4 linked regions of the Saccharomyces cerevisiae S288C genome follow. The gene in region 1 interacts genetically with each later gene. Each region holds a gene or a part of one and is shown in the gene's direction. Other genes may lie near its edges.

Region 1 (8,970 bases):
CCGTTACTGAAAACGAATGATCCTACACCAAGATCCATCAGGGATGTCCCCCAAGTTTCCACCTTGGCAAACCTCCTTGGGAAAATTGGAAAATCTACAGCCAAGATGGCAATAGCAGTCAGAATAAGCATCCCACCACGATACGCAGTAATATACGGCTTTTTTTCTAGTTGGAACCGCTGTGTAATCATTTTTTTTTTATTGTATATTGGATTAGAAGGTTTACTCGAGCTAGTAAATTTTCCATATATGAATGCGAGCAAACAAGGTAACAGTATTAGCGTGTTTAGAAGGTATGGTTCACTAGCATAAATAGTAATAGATAGAAGCAAAGCAACCCAGTTCAATGCAAAATCAATTATGTATTGCACGCTGGAAATGCCAGGAGGCATAAGGTTGGAATTTTTCAATAAGTTCCATGATATGTAAGTTACCAAAGCAATTGATGTCACTGCGTTAATTTCTGTTATAGAACCGCCATTGAGCCCTGTCACAAAGTCCTCTTTTCTCTGTTTTAAAGTCGACATATTCTTCTGATGTACTGTTGCCATTTATTTAGATATTTACGTGTCTTCTTATTGCGATCCTCTTTTTCTCATGCTGTTTTTTCACGCGAGCATGTCATGGAAAGTATTATCATACAAAACGGTAATACATATAGATGAGTAGATTTGAATAATGCTGTAGATGGCGTATGTAAATGAATATCTTATAAAATTACGGACTACATTTCAAGAATCTAATTCCTTTGTCTGATTTCTTGTCTGTCGTCTCATAGGTTTTTCTAAAGAGGCAGTACGTTTCTTATCTTGAATGGAGCCATAGGTAACTTGAGTATGTGAAACTTCCTCAGTTCTTGGGATCTCTTCTGGATTAGAAATTGCAGTCGGCTGCTCTGTAGGCACATTTTCTGACATTATTGTGCCCCAACTCGTGGTTCGTTTAATTTGTTTAGGAACGAAATTTTTTGGCAGTGACTCCAACTTGATCCTTTTCGTATCCGGCATTTGTCTCTCTGAAGAAACATCCATGATACTCGATGAGACACTACGCTTTTTTCTTCCAGAATCAGTTTCTCTAATTTTCTGCAATAATTCGTTTTTGGTATCTTTCATAGAGTGCTCCGATAATGAGGAATTGTTTCTTTTCAAAAGAATAGTTTTGTCGATTTTTGGATCATTGTTTTGGTACTTTTTTTCTGAACTAATGCTGGTATAGTATGGTTTTTTTATCTTACATTTAAAATCGTCCTTGTGTCCTCTTGGGCAGATAATACACCACTTGATATTGTTTAAAAAGATTTCATTATTTTCTCCAGATGCAGCGGACAATAATTTAAAAATAAATGCTGGAGTAACTACCGGTATGGAGTGGAATTTCTTGATATATTCAATTTTCCTTTTCATCGAATTTCTCAAGATTGAATTATTTTGAAAATCTTTTCTGTTATTATCACCAGGATCATCATTATTGTTATTAATGCAAAACTGAGTAAAAAGATCGCTAAATTCATTCGACCATAACGGATGGGTTTTCGGGATACTGGGTAAAGCTGCTAAGTTGATTAGCAGAATGTCAGTGGATTTATTGAGGTATTCTACATAATTGATGCCCATTGGTTTTAGAAGATTTAATACTTTAGTCAGATGTAACAGCTCTACGCCAGAGAATCCAGTGATAGTAACATTCAGAAAAGGGGAAGAAGAAAATTCATGATGCAATAACTTTGAAGAAGACGAAACTTGAAACTCTATTGTGCTGAGGAAGGGTTTTGACCATAAATCTATTGGGTGTAGTAATTTTTGATAATACAAGCAGCGTTCAATGAAAAATTCTGTAACTATACCATCATTATCATCTATAATCTCAGGTAAATCATTGAAGGAGTCAAGAGCTTTATTACTTGGAATGATGTAATAAGAATGATCGTAAATGCCGCTCAAGTAAGACGTCTCAATTTTACCCCCATTTTGAACAACAATTTTGGTTAGTATTGAACGGTGATTGCCAGGAAAAATATGATGAATGATAAACGCACAATTTTTGAAAATCAAAGTACTATTATCACTTAAATCTTCTTGTTTGTTATTTATCGATAATGGTGACTGCCCTAGTACTGAAAAATTTGTCTTACTATGCTGCTGTAGAGACATTGCCTTGTCCCATATTTTTTCACCCTTTGGTTTAAATTTATTCAAGAGGGATGATGTTTTCGGGAGCGAAGGAGTCAGGGTACTGGAGGATTGCTGCCGCTGCAGAGAGGATTGGGCATCGATATTGGTTGGAAAGGTGGTGTTTATTTTATCCCAGCAATCGCAAGAGTTTGATCCGATTGAATCATAGGGCAGGTCTTTAATATTTGGTAAAAGATAATAGGGATCGTACGGTAACAGTGCGCTTCTTTTTTGGCAATCGAGAATCCATTTGAAATGTACAATAGGTATATTTTGTTCAATAGCAGCGTTAACTCTTGCTCCTAGTAAAGTATCCGTAACAAAAATGGATATCTGCCCATTCTGACCTTGATCATCGTCATCATTGTGTGAAGAGGTATCTTTGATTACAAAGTTTTGATAGTTATAACTAGAACACCCTAACTTTTTAATACTCCTAACCAATGAATCGATGGAAGTTATGTTAGTGTCGGTTATTCTGCCAATGAAGATATTGAAGTTATGCAAATATTTAAACGAAAATCGCCGGTAAAGTATCTTCAGCATCTCATAGGTGGATCCTGTCATTGTTGCCGTATTAGAGTCCGGCAATATATTTTCTCCAGACAGCCAGAGCTGATAAATGTCATCAATGGCTTGAATGTCAATAAATATGATATCGAATCTATGCTTCACCGCAAATTTAAATTTGTTTGTATTGGTGGTGGACCCAACAACAAGGACATTAACTTGTCTGGTCAAATCTTTAGAAAATATACCTCCTAACTTAATAATTTTCTTTGATATTTTTTTAGCTAAGATTTCATTATTTATTGCAGTCGGACAAAATGTTATTCCTTGAAAGGGCTTCATAGTAATATTAATGCTACTGATAAAATACCTGCCATACTAGAAATAGAAGACTTATATATCACGTAAAATTTGTCTCTTCTTATTCATCATGTACATAAAACAGTACAAACATTACCAATAGTACTATATAGCTTTACCAGGCAATACGCGAATAGTCCATGCAGTTTTTCTTCTCTTATACTGATGAGGGTAAGTTTTGCATTTGATCACCGCCGTATGCGAAGCGGAAAGAGCAAATGCGTTGAAAGAAACCTGGCGACAATAGGAACCACGAGTTCAAGCTAATAATGATACCTCAATGATTATGCCCAGATTACGTTATGTGACTAAAGTAGAAAGGTGAATAAATATAAGTAACGAAACAAGGTTACATGGACTCTTCAATTAAAGAAGGAAAAGGAAGGATTCTTTTGCAGGCAGAAAACATTGAAGTTATATCGCAACAATAACGATGTAGTTATTATGACCTCATAATATGAGAACTTTTTCCTCAAGTATTTTTAAGTTATTCTGTGTGTCATGACTCTCACTTCGTCATATTTTATGTTAGTGCACAAAATGCGAGGTGTGGGTGCAATCAAGACTCCGATCCATTTTCGCCGTTCGACCGGTGTTTTGGCGGCTAAATTTAAGGGCGTGATCTCAGAACTCGGCGGCAAAAAAAAAAGTATATAAGGCAGAAAGCTTTCTGCCTCTCCGATTTCCTCTCCTTTGTTTTCTTTTCCGCTTCAATTTACAATCTAGTTCAGCGGCTAATCCTCTTTACCATTGTTTTCCGTTTATCCTTTGCTCATTCTCCTTTGCTCGATTTCTTTTGCTCGTTTTTTTTTTTTTTTTTTGCTTCTTTTTTTCTTCTCGCTACTCTGAATAGACGATGGCCAAGAGGAAATATGGCAGGTCTTATTCCCTCGATGATACAGATTCCTGCAGCAATAAAGTCCTGATAGTACCAACCGGTCAAAGCTCCTCTAACGCAATCACTGATTTCTCTGTCAGAAAGGCGCATGCTTGCGATAGATGCAGACTGAAAAAAATCAAGTGTGACGGTTTAAAACCGAACTGTTCAAACTGTGCGAAAATTGACTTCCCTTGCAAAACCTCGGATAAACTGTCGAGGAGAGGTCTTCCAAAGGGGTATACAGAACTACTAGAAAAAGAGGTCGTCCGTTTGACAAATATGAATGCGAGTTCCAGCGCCAATGCAAATTCTAATTTGCCGTTCATTAATGATACATTTTATTGTTTTGATAATTACAACACTCAGTCTGAAAATCAAAGGTTTTTGGGACATTTGACATGGAATATTCTAACTAATACTTTTCCTACTCAAAAAGCAGTAGTTTTTACAGACGATCGAAATAATATTGATCTACAACTGCAACTGTTAACAAATTTTTTGAACCTGAATGGTGACTTTAATCATCTCCCAAATTTTCTTTTACTTAAATATGATTATAACCTTCAGTTTTTGAAAAATTTGTTGTCTGTCATTATTAAAGATTTTTTTAAAAGGCAAAATTCTTTGCTACTTCTATTATACCCTACAAATTTATGGAAAAATTTGCTATTAGACAAGATTAATTCAACCGCAATGACAGGTGAACCCATAACTCTACTGGCGTTACTTTATATTATTCAATTTACTTGGTCTTGTTTTGATGATTTCAAGCTTTTTAAAGTCACGAAGCTTATTGTTTCTCTGACAACAAACAGCAAATTAGACTTGAAAGTTTTGCAATTGGTTAACTTATCCATCTTTTATTTTATGGGCGCCTCTGTTGACTCTTGTAAAAGTAAAAGCTCGTTAACAGAACATTCAAATGTAAATTCAGTAATATGGACCAATGATTTGCTAAACCTAAACTTTACAAATATTTTGAATATGGGATTGTACATAAATCCCAAAAATTTAATTCCTATATCAGGCAACAATAATAATAATAAATCTAATGAAGAGGATGATAGAATAGTGACATTTTGGTGCTTTCAATTCTTAAGCTCATGGTGGTCCTTAATTCAAGGTTTACCAAAGTCCAACTTTTTAACTGAAGAATTTCAACCGAAATCAATCTCGGTTCTAGAAATCCCCAGGCTGAAGCCCTTTGAAATTTTGTTAAACTTCATCATATATTCTTTGGATGGATGTAATTTGTTGAATATCTCATCTTTAAATGTTTCGGACCCAAATTTCCAATTTTTCCAGAATGAACTGGAAAGCTTTAAAAAAAATTTATTACTGTGGAACCTTTATCACAATTTGAGTGATCACGATAACTTCCGATTCTTAACATCCAGTTCAAATAAAAAACTAACAACAAATTTACTACTTAAGAATTTGACGGGTCTAAATCACAAACTCAATCAACCTGATTTTGTGGAGATTCAATTAACTTTATTTTACTTGAGTTTAAAATTAATGACTTTAAAGGAAGGGGACCAAGATTTGAAGAAAGAGGATATCTCGTTAGAGATATTGTCCCTATATTTTTTAATTCTTACAGATGACTCTAATAATGATGATAATCAACAGTTACAACCACAGCAACTAAATCTCTACCATTTTACGCCCTTCAATAGTATTGACATTATTGACTTATGTTTAAACAATTTAAACAATTGGTCATTATCACTTAAATACGAAAGTGGTCAAAACCAGCCCCACTCAAGTAAAATAAAGTTTGAAAAATTTCAAAACTTTTTAAATCACTGGTGTCCAATATGGTACTATGATGAATTTTCCACAAACCCTTTTTTACAAATCCTCAAAATCAATTTCAAATTACTTCCTTTTGAGACAATCCATTACTCACAAGAAGAGCAACGATTGTTAATAAGTTTGAATAAATTGAGATATTTGGATGCCGTATCGAGCTTTAATTCAAGTTCAGTCAAGTCGAATTTCGCGTCTAAGGTCAATACCCAGCTAAACCTTTTGCAACACTCGAGTTCTAACTCCAATTTCCTAGATGCGTCACCATACGATTTTAATAAAATTTTTATGAACAACTTTGAAAACTATGACTACGAAACAGATGAAGGATATGCGGAAGATGATGATGAAGAGGATAGTGACAGTGACAATAGCTTACCACTAGAAATTCCTTTTAAAAAAAGTAAAAATAAATGCAAGAATAGGAATAAAGAGCTTTCACAAAGGTTATCCCTATTTGAAAACAGAGATAGCAATTCGGTAGATTTCAACACAGATACAAATTTAAATTTAAACCCTGATTCGCCATCAGTTACGTCTTCTAAGAAAAAATATTTAGATCATATTATTTTAGATAACCGAGACATCGTTAGCAACCATGACTCCAGTAAACAAAAATTCAAGATCCAGAATATTTTGAACTCGACCTTCTAACATTACGCTCCTTCGTATTACTCATTCAGCTCTTCCTCTGATAGCAGTGAATTTTCGAGGGTCACGTCGTGACTCATATGCTTTCTTGTTCCGTTTCGTTTCGAGATGACAAAAAACTGGTCATTTTTTCCGTTAAGTGCAACTCACAGCAGTATCGGCCGCTGAGAAATGCCCGGACAAATTTTTTTGAGCCGGATTGGTCACCGTTTCTTTCTTCGGCGCGGCTTCCCATTCCCGTCCATCCAAAAAAATCTACCTATATAAATCGACTTTTCACCTCTAAAGGCAGTTTATTCCTTGTATGTCCTTTAAGTACAGTTAATAACGAGCAATTTTTTTTTTTTTTTTTAGCCATCTACCCATCAACTTGTACACTCGTTACCATGTCAACCACAGCATCCACGCCTTCATCTTTACGTCATTTGATTTCTATAAAAGATCTTTCTGATGAAGAATTCAGAATCTTAGTACAAAGAGCTCAACATTTCAAGAATGTTTTTAAAGCAAATAAAACGAATGATTTCCAATCCAACCATCTGAAACTATTGGGTAGAACTATAGCCTTAATATTTACTAAAAGATCAACTAGAACGAGAATTTCGACCGAAGGTGCAGCCACCTTCTTTGGTGCCCAACCGATGTTTTTAGGTAAAGAGGATATTCAGCTTGGTGTCAATGAATCATTTTACGATACCACCAAGGTTGTATCATCTATGGTTTCATGTATTTTTGCCCGTGTGAACAAACATGAAGACATACTTGCTTTTTGCAAGGATTCCTCTGTACCGATCATCAACTCTCTATGTGACAAATTCCACCCTTTGCAAGCAATTTGTGATCTTTTAACAATAATCGAAAACTTCAATATATCTCTAGATGAAGTAAATAAGGGAATCAATTCAAAATTGAAGATGGCATGGATTGGTGATGCCAATAATGTCATAAATGATATGTGCATCGCATGTCTGAAATTCGGTATAAGTGTCAGTATTTCCACTCCCCCCGGTATTGAAATGGATTCCGATATTGTCGATGAAGCAAAGAAAGTTGCTGAGAGAAACGGTGCGACATTTGAATTAACACACGACTCTTTAAAGGCCTCCACCAATGCCAATATATTAGTAACCGATACTTTCGTTTCCATGGGTGAAGAATTTGCGAAACAGGCCAAGCTGAAACAATTCAAAGGTTTTCAAATCAATCAAGAACTTGTCTCTGTGGCTGATCCAAACTACAAATTTATGCATTGTCTGCCAAGACATCAAGAAGAAGTTAGTGATGATGTCTTTTATGGAGAGCATTCCATAGTCTTTGAAGAAGCAGAAAACAGATTATATGCAGCTATGTCTGCCATTGATATCTTTGTTAATAATAAAGGTAATTTCAAGGACTTGAAATAATCCTTCTTTCGTGTTCTTAATAACTAATATATAAATACAGATATAGATGCATGAATAATGATATACATTGATTATTTTGCAATGTCAATTAAAAAAAAAAAATGTTAGTAAAACTATGTTACATTCCAAGCAAATAAAGCACTTGGTTAAACGAAATTAACGTTTTTAAGACAGCCAGACCGCGGTCTAAAAATTTAAATATACACTGCCAACAAATTCCTTCGAGTTGTCCAATTTCACCACTTTTATATTTTCATCAACTTCAGCAGATTCAACCTTCTCACATAGAACATTGGAATAAACAGCCTTAACACCACTTTCAAGTTTGCACAGCGTAATATGAGGAATTTTGTTTTGACAACACAACCCTTTAATTTTCTCATTGTTTTCATCAATTATGCATCCATCTTTATCTTTAGACAGTTCCACTACAATAGCAATGATTTTTTCATCCCAACATAGTTTTTCGAGCCTAAAATTCAGTTTGTCGGTCGTTTTTACCTGCGTATTTTGGTTATTACCAGAGCCTTGTGCATTTTCTATGCGGTTGTTATTGTACTCCGTTATCTGGTCAGTGTATCTGTTACAATATGATTTCCACAACTTTTTTGCCTCTTTTTCACGGGACGACATGACATGACCTAATGTTATATGAAGTTCCTTCTGAACTTTTCCACTAGCTAGTAAATGCTTGAATTTCTCAGTCAGCTCTGCATCGCTAGCAATACACCTCTTGACCAATTCAATAATTTCATCGTAGTTTTCTATTTTAGCTGAGATATATGTAGGTTTAATTAACTTAGGCGTTTTTTGTTGATTATTGTTGCCTTTACCAACTATTTTTCTCACAGTAGGTTTGTAATCTAAGCTCCTTCTGAACGCTGTCTCAATTTCATCATCTTTCGGGATCTCTGGTACCAAAATTGGATAAGCTTTATGAATTTCATTGAGGATTTGTTTCGCATTGGTTAATGAAGAGTCTGCTTGTCCAAAATCTAACTCTATCATTAAATCAAACATATTATCTGGTGATTTGTCTAAATTAACAGGTTGATATCTTTTCAAAAACCCATTCATGATGCCTACCACTTTCTTCTCTCCTAATTCGTCCCATTTAATACTTTGGTGATTGTTACCTCTTTTGATTACTCTTTGCAGTGTTATGTCTCTTATTTCCGAT
Region 2 (8,469 bases), on another chromosome or scaffold:
ACCATTCCAACAAAGAAGAAATGATGGAAGTAAAAAAGACTAAGGAATCAAGCTTGGTGAAGCTACCTCGTCATTTAATTAACGAACTTCTGCATGATCACCCAAACTGAGCTAGATAACTGCTTACAATGGGCTCAAAATAATGGAGCCTTCATCGATCCGAAAATCTCTTTTAGGATTACAGAGGATGCTGGTGTTAGTGCATTTGTAAACGAAAAATTCTCTCCCAAACCCGACCAAGCTTTGATTAGGGTACCCGAAACTCTGCTGATCACTTCCCAGCAAGCTTTATCAGAATTTTCCCAGGCTGCTAATGAAAGGAGTCTTTTGAATTCCGTGACACAGTTGTACTTGTCAAAGTTGAAATTTGGCACCGATGCAGTTCACCTGAAATCCTTTTACAAACCATATTTAGATGTGCTACCCTTGCACCTTCCACAACCATATTTTTGGTCTACTGATGAAGTCATGAATTTGCATGGTACAGACGTGTACTTAACTATGAGAGATACGCTGAACAAACTAGTAAAGGAGTGGAGGATGCTGTTCCAAGCTTTATCTATTGAACACTCTTCTCAAGATAAGCAGTTCTTGTCTTTATTCCAGGAGAATAAAGACTCTGCCGTAGTGCCGTTGGAACAGTTCTGCGCACACATCAATGGATGTAAACTAGAAGATTCGGAATGGAACTCGTTCGTGGCGTATCTTTGGTCGTACTGCATCTTTAATTCTAGGGCATTTCCTCGTGTCATTTTAGGCAGGGCCGGTACAGACCGCACCAATCTGAACGAAGGATTTTTGTATCCAATAGTAGATTTATTAAACCATAAAAACGATGTACCAGTAAGATGGGAGATGAATGAACAAAATGAACTTTGTTTCATGTCGCAGACTACCACATTTAGTGCACAGGATGAATTGTTTAATAATTATGGTAATATTTCTAATGAAAAATGTTTGTTAAACTACGGGTTTTGGGATTCCTCGAATAAGTTTGACTTCTCTAGGTTGACTTTAAAGCTACCATCCACCTTAGTTAGCGGTTTGCCCGTGGATTTTAACAAATCAGGTAATTTTGTTACTGACGATGGAGAAACTACCATTTTACAATTTAGTTTAAAAATTTCTGAACCATTACCACCGGTTCTACTAGCGTTATTTGCCTACCTAAGTAAATTAAAGTCTGAAGAAACTCCAACCGTAAGGAGCGTATTGGAAGGTATTGATCAATTAACATCTGTAGTATCCCAGAGATTGCTGTTTTATAAGAATTTTAAAATTAAAACTTCTTCGACTCAAAAATTACGCCCTCATGTTATTAAACTAATCAAACTATACTATCAAGATAACAAAAAAATTCTGAACGCCACTACTGAGAAATTGTCCGTTTTACAAAAAAAAATATATAGCAATAATAAGGAGTTTTCTCTGTCATTCAAGACAATTTTTAAAAACGACAAAATATTTGCCAATTCTCTCTTACTGGTATTTGGTGCTATAAATTACGAAGATTTGATCACAAAAGACTGTCTTAATGACGCATTGTTGCTCTGGATAGTCAAATTAATCAACGATAAAAGTAATAATCAGGGAGGTTTCATTAAACAAACCTTCAAAGAAGTTAGTGATTCAATTGTCATTGAAAAAGAAGATGTTATGGAGTTTTTGCCGTTCTATAAAAAATACTTCCCTAATTTATCGGAGAGAATTCCAGAAATTTATAGTGTCGGTGATTGGGGCATAAGACAGTTCATTGTGGCAGATACTGCGATTGATAGATTGGTTTGGATCAGGAAATCAAATAAAGAGCCTATATTTCTAATGAAGAAGGCATACGACTTACAGATTTAGCTTTGATCTGTAGCCTAAGTATAAAATTCTACGTATGTATATATTTACATGCAATTTTTTCTTTTTCCAATTCATGTTAATGTTCTTCATCATTTGATAATAGGCCAATGATATTATCTACTATCTTCTCCTTTTGAGGAGAAGCTGCTTTCACTTCCTCGTTGCTTTTCTCTTCGTATAAATACATGAATTTCGACTTGTCCAGCATTTTTTTATCAATACAATGCATGTGCCCATGAAGTTCTACCTCCGACAAATCTTTAACAAAATATGTCGTTATTTGTGTCATGAATTTCAGTAGGGTTTGAAATATTTCGGGTATGGCGTTCTTCTTATCCAGAATAACAATTTTGTAGTTTGCTGATAATGTTATTGGACGAAGCTGGATGGGCCTATTTACGCGGAACTTTTCGCCATATATTTCCTGTTCGAAGTATAAAAGTTGGTTGGCCAATTTCTTTAATCCGTTTGCAGATTGTAGCGATTGTTCATTCGCAAAACCAGGTTCTATTGTTGCATTTATTGACTCAGTGAAACCCACCAACTCCATTAAAGTTGGTCTTAAATCATCTTGCATAAACTTGTACAAGTTTGGCTGGAAAATTCTAATCATTTTCGATTTTGTCAGCACGGTTTGCAAAATTAATGTGATGTGTTCAAATCTTGATAAAGTCGTTTCATCATTTTGGAAAATAGAGAATTGGTTCCATTTCATTTCTGAAATTACCAGTGCGGAATATGTTTGTAGGTCATGAAGAAAAGAGTCGTATTTTGTCTTGTAGTTGATCAGAGAAGCTTGGTCCGTGGGTATTTTCATGGACTCGGTCTCTTGATATTGCTTCCATATATATGAGTCCCAAACATTCCAACTAAATTGAAAGGAAGGCGCATTATCGTTACCAGAGAAGGAACGGATGCTTTTCTTGTTACGTTGTAAAATGGTGAATATATTGTAGAGAATGAAATTTTTGCAAAATTCAGCCCTCAATTGCCGGATGGAGAAGTCGTTTGATAATATTGTAGCTCTTAAAATGTCTCCAGGGCACGTTCTGTCTTTGTTTGATTGTTTGCTCCACAATGTCTTATGGCTAACCGATCTTTCTAAAAGTTGCTTCAAAGTGACGACATTACCACCAGCGATTCGAGTTGTGGCACTGTTTGCATCCAGATAGAATGGTTTACCCTCTTCGTTCGCCAGTATCCGACCAGCGTTAGCCTTCTCAATGCGCTTTCGTTCATTCAAGGTGCAAAGTGGCGAAGCTATCTTGGTCTTCAATTTGTCTACCTCAGTAACGAAAAATTCTCTATGTTTATCTACAAAGTAAGGGAAAATACCAATTCCATCGAATTCCCCAATCATCGCCTCATCGGAAACCTGGAAAAGAGGCAAGGGCTTTGCATTAGCTGGGTTTACAAACATGGGTACCTCACCATTATTTTGTTCCAAGAGTCTATCGTAAGTGCTCTTCTTAACCCCGATTCCCCGACAAAAGTTTGAAAATATCGACTTAGGCCAAATTACACGCTGCAGTTTCAACTTATCATCTTTGCATCGTACCCTTATTAATTGTTGCCACTCGAAAGATGGCTTGAAGTCCTCATCCATTTCGCTGAACAACTTCTCGTAGAGACTTAAGGGGTGGTCAAACATAGGCGCAATCCGTTCCCAGTGTTGGATCCTCTTCTTCGAGGATTTTTGAGTTAGATCTGTTCTAACAATCTTGAATGCGTGTTCGCGAGGGGCGTTTATATCACGTAATAGCAGTTTTTGCAAGTCCGTGAGTGAAATATTATACAGTACTCCTTCAAGATCACAATATTCATAAGATAAGTTTGTCTTCTTAAACGCTTGCTTACAGCGAGGGAACACCTGATGTGTGATATTCTCCATGTTGAACTTATACCTGTAACGAGAGGAACTGCCCTGTCTCCTCAATGAGACCATGAACAATGTTTGCCAATTCACCATTTTGGTCACTCTGTCTCAAACCTTTCCTTCAGCGCAGCCTTACTCCTTCAAGAGAAGCCTTCATTGTCCATTCACTTAAGCATAATTTGTCATCTTCAATGCAATTGAACTTTCACTAAATACACCCATACACACCAATCTTGGATTCTACTCGGCGGCAATCTTCACTCTTTCCTTTGTTTTATCATTTTCTATTCCACCTTTAGTTCCCCAACTTCACCTCTTATCGAACTATCAACACATTTGACTATCATTTTGGCAAATTCACTCACGTGAGGGCGTGTGCTAACCATGCAAGGGTTATGGCATGCGCATCCATGTGGCGTTTCCTACTTTTATTTTTACATAATATATAAGATAATTGCACATGCAAACAGTCAATCTTTTTCCTGCAATTGATGTGGAGACCAAAAGGTTTGCATCTCCTAGTACCACGATTTTTTGGTGCAAAAGTGTTGATAATGTAATTCAGGTAGAAAAGGTAGAAGTTTCCTCTAGTATGTTCACAGATTGGATTAGAAAAAAAGATCACGCGACTCTTGCCGGAAAAAACTGTGGCGTCGCTGCATATATATGACAAATCAATCATATAGATTAGAGGCCTGCCTGAGTCAAGGGGCAAAAACAATACACATATAAAGACCTGGATGCTTATCGATGATCTGTACATTCTGTTTGTAGTCTAAGTTGCTGAGGGCAACGTAGACGTACAGTGCTCAAAATAAGTAAAAATGGAACCGCTGCTTTTTAATAGTGGGAAAGCAAATCCCTCTCAAGATGTTTTCATAGATGTGGAAGTTGGTGATATTACCACAAAATATGGTTCCACAAATACTGGATCATTCAGTTCGATGGATACTGTGGAAGCGCAGGCGATAAAGGCAGAGACGGCAAGATTCATGGAAGTTCCACAGGGAAGACATTTAGGTGTGTTCTCCACGGTTGTGTTATTTGTTTCGAGGATAATGGGGTCAGGTATATTTGCAGTACCCAGTGTGATTTTACTGAATACAGGTGGTAATAAGCTGATATATTTTGCGATCTGGGTTTTTAGCGCTGCGATCGCTTTTGCAGGATTGTATCTTTTTCTAGAATTTGGTTCCTGGATACCGAAATCAGGTGGACGTAAAAACTTCCTCGAACGGAGTTTTGAAAGACCCAGACTATTAATTAGTGTGGTGTTTTCGTGTTACAGTGTTTTAACTGGCTATGCATTGACGGGATCTATCGTCTTCGGTAAATACGTGTTGAGCGCATTTGGAGTCACGGATGATTCGTGGTCCAAGTACGTCAGCATATCATTTATAATATTTGCCGTTCTCATTCACGGTGTCTCTGTAAGGCACGGAGTGTTTATACAGAACGCACTTGGTGGTTTGAAGTTGATCATGATTGTCTTGATGTGCTTTGCCGGGCTATACACGCTTTTCTTTTATAAAAGCACCGGTCAAGTTGCCTGGGACCTCCCAGTAACCCAAGTTGAGAAAGATTCTCTCCTGTCGGTGTCCTCTATTGCTACTGCCTTTATCAGCTCATTCTTTTGTTTTTCTGGATGGGATACAGTTCACACAGTTACATCAGAAATTAAGAATCCCGTTAAGACGTTGAAGGTGTCAGGTCCCTTATCGTTGATAATTTGTTTTGTCTGCTACACAATGATGAATGTGGCATACTTGAAAGTTTTGACATATGAGGAAATTGTTAGTGCAGGCCCCCTGGTTGGTTCCGTGTTGTTTACCAAACTTTTCGGACCCAGAGTTGGTGGCAAATTCATTGCTTTTTCTATCGCCATTTCTGCAGCATCTAATATTCTGGTTGTCATTTACAGTATATCAAGAGTTAACCAGGAAATATTCAAAGAAGGTTATTTACCATTCAGTATTCATATGTCCAAAAATTGGCCATTTGATGCACCTCTACCATCTATTTCTTTATGTGGCTTTATAACCATTGCTTGGATATTGATTTTACCCAAAGAGGGCGAATCCTTCAATTATCTGGTATCGATGGATGGTTATGGTAATCAGTTTTTCTTATTATTGGTCGCTATTGGGCTCTTTATTTGGAGGTTCAAACACAAGAACGAAGTCCCAGAGATTCGTGCATCTACTTTTGGAGTATTAGCCATTATTACATTATCATTATACATGTTGATGGCACCATTCTTTGCCGACCCTAGCCTAAACAGAGTTGGGTTCCTGCCGCCCTACCAAATCATGTCATTACTGGTAATAGTTGCATGCTTCTTTTTCTGGTTAGTTAAATTCGTTTTACTACCTAAATTCTTCCATTATAAACTTTTACCCAAAATCACTTATTTGCATGATGGGCTCATTGTCACAGAATGGGTGAAAAAGCCATGTCTGTGTTAGTTTTTCCTTTTCTACATAAATATTTTATAGACTACTATTGCATTTTTAATAAATAATATTCATCCTCATCTTTGAATAAAAGAAAGAAACATTCGATTATTTCATCATCTTACTTGATTGCTTGGCTATTTGCTTCAAAAGCTCTAGGCCCCCACTGTCACGACACATACTATAAAATATACCGCGTTCATCTTTCAACAGTTCACTAGGGCGATCATATTCTTTTACCTCACCGGCATCCATCACAATTATCCTGTCGTAATCGATAACAGATCTCAAACGATGTGCAATAGTAAGAATTGTGCTTTTATTAAACTCACTTCTTATAATACCCTGAATTAAATGGTCAGAATCGTAATCAATAGAGGAAGTAGCCTCGTCCAAAAGTATTATCTTTGGCTCGCGTAACAATGATCGTGCAATAAAAAGCAATTGCCTTTCACCTTGGGACAGATTTAAGCCGCCCTCAGCTATTTCTGTGTGAAGATTTAAAAATTTATTATGAGTGCTGTTAAAGCGTTCCTCCGAGTTAAGCACTTCTTCAAATTCATGTGAAGAAATTAGATTTACTTGTGAAAGTGCTTTGAATATTTTTTTTTCATCATATTCATCATATGGATCAACATTACTTTTGATTGTACCTGCAAATAGAATAGGGTCCTGAGGGATGATAGTAATGGAACGACGTAATGTAACGAGATCAATTTTACTTATATCCTGCCCATCTATTTTGATACATCCGGTTATTGGTTCTAGTAATCTGAATAATGCCGTTATTATGGTAGATTTGCCTGCGCCAGTTCTTCCGACAATCCCAATCTTACTTTGAGGATCCACTTTGAAACTAACATTTCTTATGACAGGAGGCAAATTTGGCGCGTAACGTAAAGATAAGTTTTCAATTTCAATTTCTCCATCTTTTGGCCACGATGGTTCGTTTAGAAGTAGAATGCGGCCTTCATCATGGCCAAGATAGTTCTCTTGTTCAATGCTAGAATATTCTTTTAGTCTTTCAACAGAGTTCATGTTCATTTCAAATGTTGAGTACAGTCTAACTAACCATAAAGCACCATCTGTAAACAAAATGGCATATGTCAAAGAAATGCCGGCAAGACCCGAGTCAATATTTGCAATATTGAGCAGAATAAAAGAACCTGATGCTAAAACAATGAATGCGCCAATCATGTCGACTCTAAAAGAAAACCATTTGACAGTAACTGATAAATAAAAGAATGCTCTGTTATTTTGGTCAATTTTGTTCATATTTTCTAAAATGAATCTCCTCTCGTCGCCAAATGCACGAATTGTGCAAACGCCTACCAAGGTCTCTGAGAAATGTTGAAAAATGGGTGATTTGGTTATTGAATCTAACCTTTTCAATTCTCTACTTGCCGTTAAGTACCATTTCCCCACAAAGAAATATAAAACAAAAACGATAACGGCGACTGTCAAAAAGCGAGGAGTTATTACGGTAATGAGAAATATAATTGATGCGCATTGAATTAGGCAAAATATAGTTACTTCTAAGTATGGAATCAATTCTTGATCAACACCTTCGATGTCCTTTGAAAAGCGATTCATGATTCTACCAACCGGCGTCACGTCGAAAAATCGTATTTGGGCATGTAGAACTAGATCTAGCAGATTATTAAAGATCTTTCTGGAGGCTCGCATACCGGATAAAAACGTCATCATTGTTTTAAAACCACCTAGCATTGCCTGAATGATACCAATAAGAAAATATACGGTTAAGTAATAAAATGCATTATGTTTATTTTTCGAAGAGTCGGTCATCCCTTTTAATGGCAGCGTGTCCATCGCAAAACCTGGAGCATTTATTCGTACATTGGTATCGTTGACCCAATGTCGTATCCACCAAGACTGACTGATGAACAAAATTTGAGCTGTGATATAAAGAGCGAACAGGGCTGTTAAAGCTTTGAAGCCTCCAAAAAATTTCAGGTACCATTTATAAACATCGGGGCTTATGGCACCGTTTGATTTTTCTTCCTCTTCTATTAGCTGGCCATCATTGACAAAATTTGCATCAAAATTTATGTTCTCGGTGACAGGTTCGATTTTCTGAGAGTCATTTTTTCTGGGAGCTTTTAATCTATTAGCGTTCTTTTCATTAATGCTATCTCGAGAAGAAAGTTGAACATATTTTTCCTTAAAAAGCCCTTTGCTTTGTAATTCTGTAATAGTTCCTTGATTCTTCACTTTGCCATTTTCCAACACAATCGCGAAATGGGCATTTCTAAGTGTTAATGAAACATT
Region 3 (8,292 bases), on another chromosome or scaffold:
GATTAAGTTCTTGAAATAGCACACCGTTATAAGTGATAAATATATTGTCTTCGAATAACGAATTTATTAGATTTCTATGTATTTCTACTTGAAGTTAGGAATAGATCTTTCTGGAATTGTTTTCAGCAAAATTATGCTTAAGCTATAACTATAGTGAGAATCAAGAATATGTCTGCCAATGATTTCAAGCCTGAAACGTGGACTTCAAGCGCCAACGAAGCCTTAAGAGTTTCTATAGTTGGAGAAAACGCTGTTCAGTTTTCACCATTATTCACGTATCCAATTTACGGTGACTCCGAAAAGATCTACGGCTATAAGGATCTCATCATCCACCTAGCATTTGATTCAGTAACATTCAAGCCGTATGTTAACGTCAAGTATTCAGCAAAATTAGGAGACGACAATATTGTAGACGTGGAAAAAAAATTACTCTCATTTCTACCAAAGGATGATGTAATTGTTAGGGATGAAGCTAAATGGGTAGATTGCTTTGCAGAAGAACGAAAAACACATAATTTATCTGATGTTTTTGAAAAAGTATCAGAGTATTCGTTGAATGGGGAAGAATTTGTTGTATATAAATCGAGTTTGGTTGACGATTTTGCCAGGAGAATGCATCGTCGTGTTCAAATCTTTTCATTACTTTTTATCGAAGCCGCTAACTATATAGATGAGACTGACCCGAGTTGGCAAATCTATTGGTTGTTGAACAAGAAAACAAAAGAATTGATTGGTTTCGTCACTACTTACAAGTATTGGCACTACCTTGGAGCAAAATCTTTCGATGAGGATATAGATAAAAAATTCAGAGCCAAAATATCTCAATTTCTGATCTTTCCACCTTATCAAAATAAAGGCCACGGATCCTGTCTTTATGAGGCTATAATCCAATCTTGGCTAGAAGACAAAAGTATTACTGAAATTACTGTAGAGGATCCAAACGAAGCATTTGACGATCTTCGCGACAGGAATGATATTCAAAGACTGCGAAAACTTGGTTATGATGCTGTCTTTCAGAAGCACTCCGACCTTTCTGATGAGTTTTTGGAGTCAAGCCGAAAATCTTTAAAACTGGAAGAAAGACAGTTTAATCGTCTTGTGGAAATGCTTCTTCTTTTAAACAATTCTCCATCATTTGAATTAAAGGTAAAGAATAGGTTGTACATTAAAAATTATGATGCCCTAGATCAAACTGATCCAGAAAAGGCAAGAGAAGCTTTACAAAATTCATTTATTTTAGTCAAAGATGATTATAGGCGTATTATAGAGTCGATAAATAAATCTCAAGGTTAACTGTTTATTAAATATATAATAACATATTTATTTGTTTAACAAGCCTGAAATAAGAAATTCTTTTATAAATACATCATCGAGATGATCATCAAAGTGTCTCTATAGTTAATATAAGCTTATGCAAAGGTTGAAGCCGTTATGTTGTCGTAATTCTAAATTACAGGTTATATTAAAGAGATTATCTTGACTGATATAAAATTTCTTATCATGGTAGTGATCACAAATAGATCACATGATATATTTTTTATTTTTAATTTTTTTTAATTATAAAAATAATTTTTTTCTTTAAATTAAACAAAAATAAAAAATTGTTTTTTGTTGGTTAAGATTTCCGAAAATAGAAATATTATTCAGTTGAAAGACAAAAAAACATAAATATTTCTATGAGCAAACAATTTGAACAGAAAAATAAAATTGGGGAAGTGACACACCATGGTAGCGGTTCTAAAGCGAAATCGGCAAAGCGGCTAAATAGCAGTTTTGATGACTTACTCCACACTGAAAATGGATGACCTTAAATAGGAGATAAAGCTTTTTCATCCCTATGTATTTAAGATGACTGGCTTGTCAAGCATTCTAATCATAAAAAAAAGATCGTATTTGATCAAGAATTTATACATAGACGCCGCTAAATAATTGAATACAAAATGGTACAAAGGCTTCTACCGGGCGCACATATATGCAGAAGGTCCTTCAATTCGTCTGCAATTATAAAGTCTTCTGCATTGACTCTCAAGGAAGCATTAGAAAACGTGATACCTAAGAAAAGAGATGCTGTGAAGAAATTGAAGGCCTGTTATGGCAGCACGTTTGTCGGACCGATTACCATTTCATCAGTTCTAGGTGGGATGAGAGGTAATCAGTCAATGTTTTGGCAAGGAACATCATTAGATCCCGAACATGGCATTAAATTTCAAGGTTTAACGATTGAAGAATGTCAAAATAGATTACCTAATACAGGTATTGATGGCGATAATTTCCTGCCAGAATCAATGTTATGGCTGTTGATGACAGGTGGTGTGCCAACTTTCCAGCAAGCTGCTTCTTTCAGGAAAGAATTGGCTATTCGTGGAAGGAAATTGCCACATTATACAGAGAAAGTTTTGTCAAGTTTACCCAAAGATATGCACCCTATGACCCAACTTGCAATTGGTTTAGCATCAATGAACAAAGGATCCCTCTTTGCTACAAACTACCAAAAGGGCCTCATAGGAAAGATGGAATTTTGGAAAGATACTCTTGAAGATTCGCTAAATTTAATTGCTTCACTCCCGCTGCTGACTGGGAGAATTTATTCGAACATTACAAATGAGGGACACCCATTAGGTCAATATAGTGAGGAGGTGGATTGGTGTACAAACATATGTTCCCTGCTCGGCATGACAAATGGAACGAACTCTTCTAATACATGCAACCTTACTTCCCAGCAATCCCTGGACTTCATAAACTTGATGCGGTTATATACCGGTATACATGTAGACCATGAAGGTGGTAATGTTTCTGCTCACACCACCCACTTGGTTGGAAGTGCGTTGAGTGACCCGTATCTCAGCTATTCATCTGGAATAATGGGATTAGCGGGTCCTTTGCATGGGTTAGCAGCACAAGAAGTAGTAAGGTTTCTCATAGAGATGAACTCTAATATTTCCAGCATTGCACGAGAACAAGAAATCAAAGATTATCTTTGGAAAATTTTGAATTCAAACCGTGTGATCCCCGGTTATGGGCACGCAGTTTTGCGTAAACCGGATCCTCGATTTACAGCAATGCTTGAATTTGCGCAAAAGAGGCCTATTGAATTTGAGAACGACAAGAACGTTTTGTTGATGCAAAAATTGGCAGAAATAGCGCCTAAGGTTTTGTTGGAACACGGAAAGAGTAAGAATCCATTTCCCAATGTTGACTCTGCATCGGGGATTTTGTTTTATCATTATGGAATCAGGGAATTATTATTCTTTACCGTCATTTTTGGGTGTTCAAGGGCCATGGGACCCTTGACACAACTTGTTTGGGATCGCATTCTAGGTTTACCAATTGAAAGGCCCAAGAGTTTGAACTTGGAGGGTCTGGAAGCACTTACCAAAGCAAGCAATGTTAACAAGTTGTAACGCAGTTCCAATTTACAAGAATGCTTCGTTTGCTATTACAATATTGAAATATAAATAAAATTCCATACAGCATGTCTAATCATAGCTAATTTATACATATTCATCATGAAAACATATAGGGGAAAATATGGTCGGTTAACACACCTATCAAAAAATTATTCAGCAATTCCAATCTCGTTAGTAAAATATATTCTTATTTTTTTTTTTTTTCTCTGATTGTATTATTTCTGGAGTTTTGACTTATTTTTTTACCACATCGCGCTTTTCGTCCCCAATCTCTCTGATATATGATGCTGTCTATAGGTAGCCACTTCCCCGATGTCGGACCTCGGGCCGTTTACAAACTTTATTGAGATGACCTTATTTCTCCACATTCTAGTCATTCAACTTTTACCCTCATATGTTTACCTTCACTAATGTGAAAGCATGACCAAAGAAAGTGTATAAGGTATATAAATCTGCCATAATGTATGTATAACTTATTAGGACTTTCTCAAATAGTATTTTGGTATTTTCTACTGTTCTCTGATGATCGAGAGCAAACAGAATGTTTTTAGCCAAAAATCTAAAAAATAATAAAATCAAGGTATGCTTGCCTAAAAAGAAATTTGCTGCGCTGAGTACAGCGTCTATACAAACTAATGAAAGACCAAATCCAGATAAGGTTTTGAAGGACATCGCGAAATATGTCCATGAAACCCCATTAAAATCATCTTTGGCTCTAGATACAGCACGACTCTGTTTCCTTGATACTCTAGGCTGTGGCTTGGCGGCTTTGAAATTTAAGCAGGCTCAAAATATTATTAAACCAATTGTGCCAGGAACAATAGTTCCCAGTGGAACAAAAATATTGGGCACATCTTACGTTATGGATCCAGTGAAGGGAGCTTTTGCCATTGGTACTCTAATACGTTGGTTAGATTACAATGACTGCTGGTTAGCTGCCGAGTGGGGGCACCCATCAGATAACCTTGGGGGAATTTTAGCTGTCGCGGATCACTTGTCCAGATTAAACAAGGCTACCCACGGAAAGAATGGAAAACAGTTTCTTGTTAAAGACGTATTAGAGGCAATGATTAAAGCGCATGAAATCCAAGGTATTATAGCGCTCGAAAATTCTTTCAATAAAGTAGGTTTAGATCATGTGGTACTCGTGAAAGTAGCAACGGCTGGTGTTGTCTCGAAGATGCTGGGCCTGAGCCAGGAACAAACTATTGAAGCATTGTCACAAGCATTTGTAGACGGTCAATCACTGCGTACTTACCGTCATGCCCCAAATACTGGATCTAGAAAGTCGTGGGCGGCGGGAGATGCAGTTTCGAGGGCTGTAAACTTGGCTTATTTAGTCAAAAATGCTAATGTTGGCACGATACCTTCAGTATTAACAGCTAGAACCTGGGGATTTTATGACGTTTTATTTAAGGGTAAACCTTTTTCATTCCAACAAAGATCAAAATATGATTCCTACGTCATGGAAAACGTTCTGTTCAAGATATCATTTCCTGCCGAATTCCATGCGCAAACTGCTGTAGAAGCTGCTGTAAAAGCATATAGGATTCTTGCCAAACAAGGGAAAACTTTTAAAGATATTAAATCGATCAGAATTAGAACTCAAGAGGCGGCAATGAGGATTATAGATAAATCCGGTCCTCTGTATAATTATGCCGATAGGGATCATTGTATCCAGTACATGATCGCGGTTCCGCTGATTACTGGTAATCTCACAGCTACTGATTATTCGGATGAGGTCGCAAGAAATCCTGAGATCGATAACTTGAGATCGAAAATGTACTGTATCGAAGATACTCATCTCACTCAAAACTATCACGATCCTGATAAAAGGTCGATAGGAAACGCTCTTCTCATAGAGCTGAACGATGGGACGCAGTTGGATGAAATTTTTGTAGAGTACCCTGTTGGTCACAAATTTAGACGAGAGGAAGGAATACCATTACTAATGAATAAATTTCAAAGGCATCTGCGCGAACATTTTGTAGAGAGCCCTGATAAAGTCGACCTTATAATGAAGGTAAGTTCAAAAACAAACTTTTTGAATATGCAAATCGACAAATACATGGATTTGTTTACTGAGGGATGAATGGTTGGCTCTTTAAGAGCGAACGGCATGGTACCTACTTCAATTTTTAAAGACAAAAGGCGCCGTTTCGATAAACAAGAAATCACTTTCAAAACATAATTAAACCAAAGAACATGCGGTTTTCTAATTATGCTGGCTTAATTTTACTGGTATTTATCTACATAATAATAACTATTAAAAAATTAAATAATTGGCTCTATTTATTTTTCTTTCTTCAACTTGCAAGAGTTCGTCAATTCATGGAAAAATACAAAAATAGAAATGCGAATTCTGTGGATCGAACACAGGACCTCCAGATAACTTGACCGAAGTTTTTTCTTCAGTCTGGCGCTCTCCCAACTGAGCTAAATCCGCTCAATTTCTATGCTCTAACCACCTTAGCTAAAAACTCAATACAGGATTAGTTGATAAATGGGTGTTATCAACTCAATCCACAGTGTTGGAATCAGAGTCAGTTATCATCTTTGGGCTAGTATTATTGTAAGTGTTGGAATAAAAATTCTAAAATATCATCCATTTAGTAGTGTTCATATTACTAATATATCTGTTGGAATAAAAATCCACTATCGTCTATCAACTAATAGTTATATTATCAATATATTATCATATACGGTGTTAAGATGATGACATAAGTTATGAGAAGCTGTCATCGAGGTTAGAGGAAGCTGAAGTGCAAGGATTGATAATGTAATAGGATAATGAAACATATAAAACGGAATGAGGAATATTCGTAATATTAGTATGTAGAAATATAGATTCCATTTTGAGGATTCCTATATCCTCGAGGAGAACTTCTAGTATATTCTGTATACCTAATATTATAGCCTTCATCAACAATGGAATCCCAACAATTATCTCAACATTCACCCATTTCTCAATATCATCACGTGCGGTCTAAGAAGATGATATGAAGATTGAGAATAGTCATCAGGTGTAATGGAAGCTAATTGCAAGGATTGGTAATTTAGTAGGATGATGAATGACAGTCACATAAGATGAAAAGGAAAACAATAATGCCATTATATCGAGAATATCGATCTCTTCGTGGATTCTTCTCATAGAGAAATTCTAGTATAATATATATACGAAATATTATGGCCTTTAACAACAATAAAATTCCAACAATTATCAACTAATTCGAACATCTCTTGACAATATACATTATTAATTTTTACATTTCGACTTTCTTTGAATTAGGGACTGTCTCTCAATTCATCTCTTTCTCATACAGAATATCACTTATCCTATATAACTTATATAAGATTAGAATCTAACTAGAGCGAGGAGAGCGGAAACTCGGATCAAAAGTGATTGTTTAAGTGTTTGTGCGTTTGTGCGGCTCATTAAGACAATAAGGTTTTGCTTTTGTATTCAATTTTGTGGGTTTTATAACGTATAAATGCGCTTCTTGAAAGCTTGTTAACGATTTTATCGTAAAGAAATAAATAAACTAAAGAATTGAGGAGACAATACTGTTTTGATAAATAAGCCCCAAAAATATTATAGGGCCGCAAGGAATAAATTTCATAATGCGCATATGCCCAGACTCCTCTGTTTCTTTCGAAGTTTTACACTAGACTTGAATTAAATAAAGTATTGGACATAAAACTCTCCGAATCATTGTTCGGGACGTTGTTCCCTTTAATTTTCATTTTCTCAATTTCATAAAGAGCCGCATCAATGCTATCGAAGTACGGAGAATATGTCTCTCCTGCATCACTAAATGTGTTGCTAGTATTATTTTCGTTGTTATTTGCTTGCGCTCTTTCCACACTAGCAGCTACACCTGCTTTGAATAATCGCCTTCTTACTTTGTCATTTATAGATACATTGACAAGGTAAATAAAGACATTGCGCCTCTTGTAACTAGTGATAATTTCCTCCAGCACTTGGGCGGCTGAAGAATCTATTGAGGTCATCCCACCTAAATCGAAAATGACATATTTTATGGAATCCTTCGAGCGAAGTGATTTCCTTCCAGGATGTATCTTAGACGAACCGTACCTCTCTATTCTGTCAAGTCTCTGTTTTAAATCTTCGCTGTTTGTAAATGTGAGAGGCTCAGGTATTCTAACAATCATGCATCCCTCGATTTCTTCTGTGCCCTCAACATCCAGAGAGTTCCTTTTCATGTTCATCATGTAGTCGTCAAGATTCGTAAAGTTCGACGTTCCCGCTACCCTAGCCAGAATTTGGATTCTTGACTTTGCTGAATGCTTTATAATATTTATAATTGAATAGACACATCCGATGCATATTCCTGCTTCGATTGAGTAAAATATTGTAGTGCAGAAGGTAACAGCAAAAACAAATAGTTCACTAAAGCCACCACATCGCAAATGGAACTTTATGTCGCCTGGCACTTCCTCTAATAAACTAATTCCGATGATGGTTGTTATGACGGATAAAACACAATTAGGAATATAATGTACGAATTGAAGAAGTAAATTCATTGTGATTAGGGTGATGACACCCATAAACACTCCCGACATTACGCTTTGTGCTCCTGATAGGGCGTTGATCTTGGATCTTCCATATCCGCCGAATGCGGGAAGAGCACCGAATAATGAGATGACAATATTCATGAATCCTAAAGCTACTAGTTCTCTATTAGAGGAAACGGTAAGATTGTAAGTTGTTCCAAGAGATTTCGACGCGGTCGTAGATTCAAAAAAACCCAACATTGCCACTATTAGAGATGCACTAAAAAGATCTGGTATTAGCTTACGTCTAGGACGAGTTAAAGGGTTTTTCAATTCATCAAAATTGTCCATGCTAAAGTCGCCAATGATA
Region 4 (4,502 bases), on another chromosome or scaffold:
TCCGATAGTACTGGCCTGGTAACCCTTCAACCAGAGGAGATAAAAGATGAAGTGTTTTCAGCGGCCATGTATAGCAGGTTCGTGAAATCTGCCCTAGATGATCTGGATAAGAATGATTCAACCCAGATCGGCATAATTGCCAATCAAGTAGCGCTTCCGAGCAAGAATCCTGAAAGAATTAATGATAAGAATCTCAATATTCTTTTGGATATCTTATCTAGTAATATCAACAGGATAGAATCCTCCAGGGGAACTTTCCTCATACAATCTATCATAAACTTTGAGAAGTGGTGGGAATTGCCTCCACACACTCTAAGTAAATATATATATTTCATCAAAATCCTTTGCTCGAGTATACCCAAATGGTGGCAAGACGTTTCGATGATACTGGTATCTTGTTTTATTTTACCAATCAAACAGACAGTGTGTCATCATGATATGCTTAAATATTTCTTAAGGATGATTCCCTCCTCGATGGGATTCATAGATACATATTTGGCCAAATTTTTCCCAAATAAAAATGATACTCGGAGAAAGTTGGTTAATTACACTTCAAATTTGCTGAAATTGAGAGGCTACTGCTCTGAGCTAGGATTCCAAATTTGGTCCTTACTGATAGAAAAGATTATTTCGATTGATGTCGAGTTACAAAATGAATTAGATGAATTAGATGATGATGTAGATGACGATGATCTAGAGGAAGTTGATCTAGAGGATGACGACGATTTAGATGATGATTCAGGAGACGATGATGATGAAAATTGTGGGAACAGTAATGAAGAGTTAAGGTCTGGAGCAGCCGACGGTAGTCAAAGTGATAGTGAAGATATGGACATCATTGAAGGTATGGACGGTACTGAAGAATATAATGTGGAGTTGACGCAGGGAATCAAAGAACTTTCCACCAAATTGGACTCTATCTTAACTTTGGTAAGCACGCATGTGGAAGAGCAAGTGACGCCGGAGAGTTTAGAAAGCGGTGAAGGCGTAGGAGTCTTCAACACTCTAACAACATTATTTAAAACGCATGTTCTACCCACGTACTATACCAGGTCGATTCAATATATCATGTTCCATGTTTCACAACAACAATTAGAACTAATGGATTCATTTTTAGTGACACTGATAGATATTTCGTTTGCCGTCAACGAAGCAGCAGAGAAGAAAATTAAGTCATTACAATATTTGGGGTCGTACATTGCGAGGGCCAAGAAACTATCCAGAACTCAAATTATTTTCGTTGCAAGCTATTTAACGTCCTGGTTGAATAGATACGTTATCGAAAGAGAAGAAGAAGTTGATCAACGTGGAGGTATGGAAAGGTTTAAACATTTCTATGCAGCATTTCAAGCACTTTGTTACATTTTCTGTTTCAGACATAACATCTTCAGAGATACAGATGGTAACTGGGAGTGTGAACTGGACAAATTCTTTCAAAGAATGGTCATTTCAAAATTTAACCCATTAAAGTTTTGTAATGAAAATGTCATGTTGATGTTTGCTCGTATTGCCCAACAAGAAAGCGTCGCGTACTGTTTCAGCATAATTGAAAATAACAACAATGAAAGATTGAGGGGAATCATCGGCAAAGCTGATAGCGACAAGAAGGAAAATTCCGCACAAGCAAATACCACATCGTCTTCTTGGTCTTTAGCCACTCGACAACAATTTATTGACTTACAGAGTTACTTCCCATATGATCCTTTGTTTCTGAAAAACTATAAAATTTTAATGAAGGAATACTACATAGAGTGGAGTGAAGCAAGCGGGGAATATGAAAGTGATGGGTCGGATGACTAAGGTCTTTTTTCATAGGTATCTTCGAGACATGCCCGTCACAAACTAATGATACACTGTAGTCACCCCATTAATAGTTGAAATGAGGATATATAGCATAAATGCATTTAACACATTTTTTAGATTTCTAGATACTATAGAAACTTAGTATTTTTATTTTCCACAGTGTACTCTTCACGATATTTTGCATTTTAGAACGCTTGTTTGTTCTCGTCACTTACTACGTGCGCGCTTTACATTCGCAGGTCTACTTATTAAAGAGTTTCTGTGGGGAGGGGTTCCTGAGTCAAAATCTCAGCTATCCGAACAGCTTGTACTTAGATTACTTGGCACATATTTATATTCAGTAAAGTCAATAGTGGGTATTATTAATCGAAATAAACAGAACAAGCAGTAATAGCTCTTTTTTCATCTATTTTATTTGTAACTAGGAAGAAGAAAAAAACTTGAAGGTATACAAGAGCAATGTATGTCACTTTTAATGAGGCTTTGGATAGTTCTTTTGGTAATCTAGAGAGTCCGAATCATGACTTCAAAGTAGGTGACCCTAACATGGTACCAACTCCCCCTATGGATTCAGATTCTGCAGCAATTAGTTTGGCTTTCTTAATAAGTCTTTCTATTACGTTTGCAATATTAATGCTCATCTTGGTAGTAATAGCGGCATATGTCACCTTTTGTGGTGATGATGAATCAGAATACGACGAAGAGAACGCCTTAGGTACACGAACTTCAGGAACTCTGCACTCTTTGTTTGGTAAAAAACATAGTGGCATCTTGTTGGATTCGAGTTTTGCATCCCCTGGCGGGTTTGATGATGAGATCGTTCTTCAGGAAAGAGAACTTGAAGAATTACCAAAGATGTCAGCGTACGAGGTTGAGTTGTATATAAGAGCGAAAGAGTTTCAAATGATGAGCCCGCCAATGGTGAAGGACTTTGGCACGTATTTGGACAGTGACGACCAGCAGTTTATTAAGGATCGTGGCATTCAAAGCTATTTTTTGCTACCAAGCATTAATGATAATATAGACGAATATGGAAACTTTCTACCCAGTTTTATTGTCCAGGATAAACTAGATATTCAATTTTCAAAGTTCAATAAGAGCTCATCCACTGTAATGAACTATCCCCTACCTCACAATAGGAAGGACGCAGTGTATTTCGAAGTTAAAATTTTCAGACATATTCAAAAGTCCAATAGTATATTCAGTATAGGTTTGACTACTGTACCATATCCTTATTTCAGGGTACCGGGCATGGCCAAATACTCCATTGCATACGAATCCACAGGTAAACTGAGGATAAATAACCCCTTCACTGCCAGCACATTATTACCAAAATTGGAAGAAGGTGACACGGTAGGATTCGGTTACAGATATAAAACAGGTACAATCTTCATTACACATAATGGGAAAAAATTAATGGATGTAACACAAAATATTGGCATTGATCTTTTCATTGGAATTGGCGCGTTTAATGCCGCATATACAAGAACATATACGAGGGATGGTCTATTGGAAGACCCGGATAATGTTAGCTTCCGTGAAGCTCTCTCTGAAGGCAAAGATATTGAAGTCGCCAAAGATCTTCAAAGAGTTCACGATCCACATGATGAAAGTGATGAAATGACGTCAGATGAGGTTGAATTACATGTTAATTTGGGCCAAGTTGGGTTCGTCTTTATAGAAGCCAATGTGAAAAAATATGCGTTTGGGAGTGTTTATGGCCAAATTGGAATTCCTCCTGCGTATAATGGAACCGAGATCAAGAAGGATACTATTTTACAGAAAGGAGAAGAATTGCCACCAAGATATGCTGACACTGATAATTTCTTTGGTAGTATGAAGGTAAAAGAAGGGTCATCCTCTAGGATAACGGCGCAAACTAGTAAGCCCCTGTGGTCTGTTGGGACGTATGAAAGAATCTCTTCTAACTTTGACAGAGAAAATAATGTTTACCACGACAGTCTTGAAACCGACGATAACAACACCGATAACAATGTTAATAACAACGATGAGAACGCTGGTTGCAATGAAAATTCGCCATTATTGGAAGATGATGGCAATAAAAGACCGGAAAATTCAAATACCCCCCGTGAAGTATCAGATGGAGCTATCAATAAGAACCCTAGAAATAAATCTACTAAAAAACGTCAAAGAAACAGAGGCAAATCTTCTAAAAAGAAGAACAGATCGAGAAAATAAGAGACATTATGAATTTGGTTTTTTTTACAATTTACGCATACACAATATATACATTCCTACTAGCTTTTTTTTCTTCAATTCGATAGTTTAGATGGGTTTATATCTAAATATATATATATAGTATTTTATTTCATATTCAATCTCCTAGTATACATGAAATATTTAACGCTTTTTTTTGCCCTTGTTTTTATTTTTTTTCTTTTTTGAAGCTGCAGAGTTACCATTGTTATTTTGCACAGCATTAGCTTTTTGCTTCGGTTCTGTAGCAGTTTTCTTAGCCGCAGGATCGCTCTTTTCGACATCTGTGTTGACAATTAAGGTGGCTAAACCAACAATGTCTTGGATGCTCTTACCTTTTATTTTTTTACTCGATTCTTTTATTTTGTTATTTTTCTTCTTCGACTGTGCTATTTTTTCAATTTTACCTGGAGTTATAGATACGCCTCGTGGGCCTAATGCACTAAGTAATCTTGAAACATCTTTACTCTTATTAGTAGTAA

The links.
Region 2: mutations in SIP4 (region 1) and MUP3 together harm fitness more than expected from each alone (negative genetic interaction), as found in Saccharomyces cerevisiae (one large-scale study listed by BioGRID).
Region 3: mutations in SIP4 (region 1) and CIT3 together harm fitness more than expected from each alone (negative genetic interaction), as found in Saccharomyces cerevisiae (one large-scale study listed by BioGRID).
Region 4: mutations in SIP4 (region 1) and SSH4 together harm fitness more than expected from each alone (negative genetic interaction), as found in Saccharomyces cerevisiae (2 studies listed by BioGRID).

Annotation. Positions count from the first base shown.
Region 1 is NC_001142.9:262,026-270,995, forward strand, and holds SIP4 (Sip4p), read left to right. Parts: upstream 1-3,900; coding exon 3,901-6,390; downstream 6,391-8,970. Other genes in the region: GWT1 (glucosaminyl-phosphotidylinositol O-acyltransferase), read right to left, coding at 1-527; protein kinase activating protein DPB11, read right to left, coding at 732-3,026; ARG3 (ornithine carbamoyltransferase), read left to right, coding at 6,774-7,790; TRL1 (tRNA ligase), read right to left, coding at 7,977-8,970.
Region 2 is NC_001140.6:21,690-30,158, forward strand, and holds MUP3 (Mup3p), read left to right. Parts: upstream 1-4,551; coding exon 4,552-6,192; downstream 6,193-8,469. Other genes in the region: EFM1 (protein-lysine N-methyltransferase), read left to right, coding at 94-1,851; CBP2 (Cbp2p), read right to left, coding at 1,928-3,820; YHL037C (uncharacterized protein), read right to left, coding at 4,089-4,490; putative ATP-binding cassette multidrug transporter VMR1, read right to left, coding at 6,289-8,469. UniProt on the Saccharomyces cerevisiae protein: Very low affinity permease for methionine.
Region 3 is NC_001148.4:554,437-562,728, forward strand, and holds CIT3 (citrate (Si)-synthase CIT3), read left to right. Parts: upstream 1-1,940; coding exon 1,941-3,401; downstream 3,402-8,292. Other genes in the region: histone acetyltransferase catalytic subunit HAT1, read left to right, coding at 169-1,293; PDH1 (putative 2-methylcitrate dehydratase), read left to right, coding at 3,949-5,499; YPR003C (uncharacterized protein), read right to left, coding at 7,068-8,292. UniProt on the Saccharomyces cerevisiae protein: Dual specificity mitochondrial citrate and methylcitrate synthase with similar catalytic efficiency with both acetyl-CoA and propionyl-CoA.
Region 4 is NC_001143.9:208,331-212,832, forward strand, and holds SSH4 (Ssh4p), read left to right. Parts: upstream 1-2,262; coding exon 2,263-4,002; downstream 4,003-4,502. Other genes in the region: RRN3 (rDNA-binding RNA polymerase I transcriptional factor), read left to right, coding at 1-1,800; signal recognition particle subunit SRP21, read right to left, coding at 4,165-4,502. UniProt on the Saccharomyces cerevisiae protein: Components of the endosome-vacuole trafficking pathway that regulates nutrient transport. May be involved in processes which determine whether plasma membrane proteins are degraded or routed to the plasma membrane.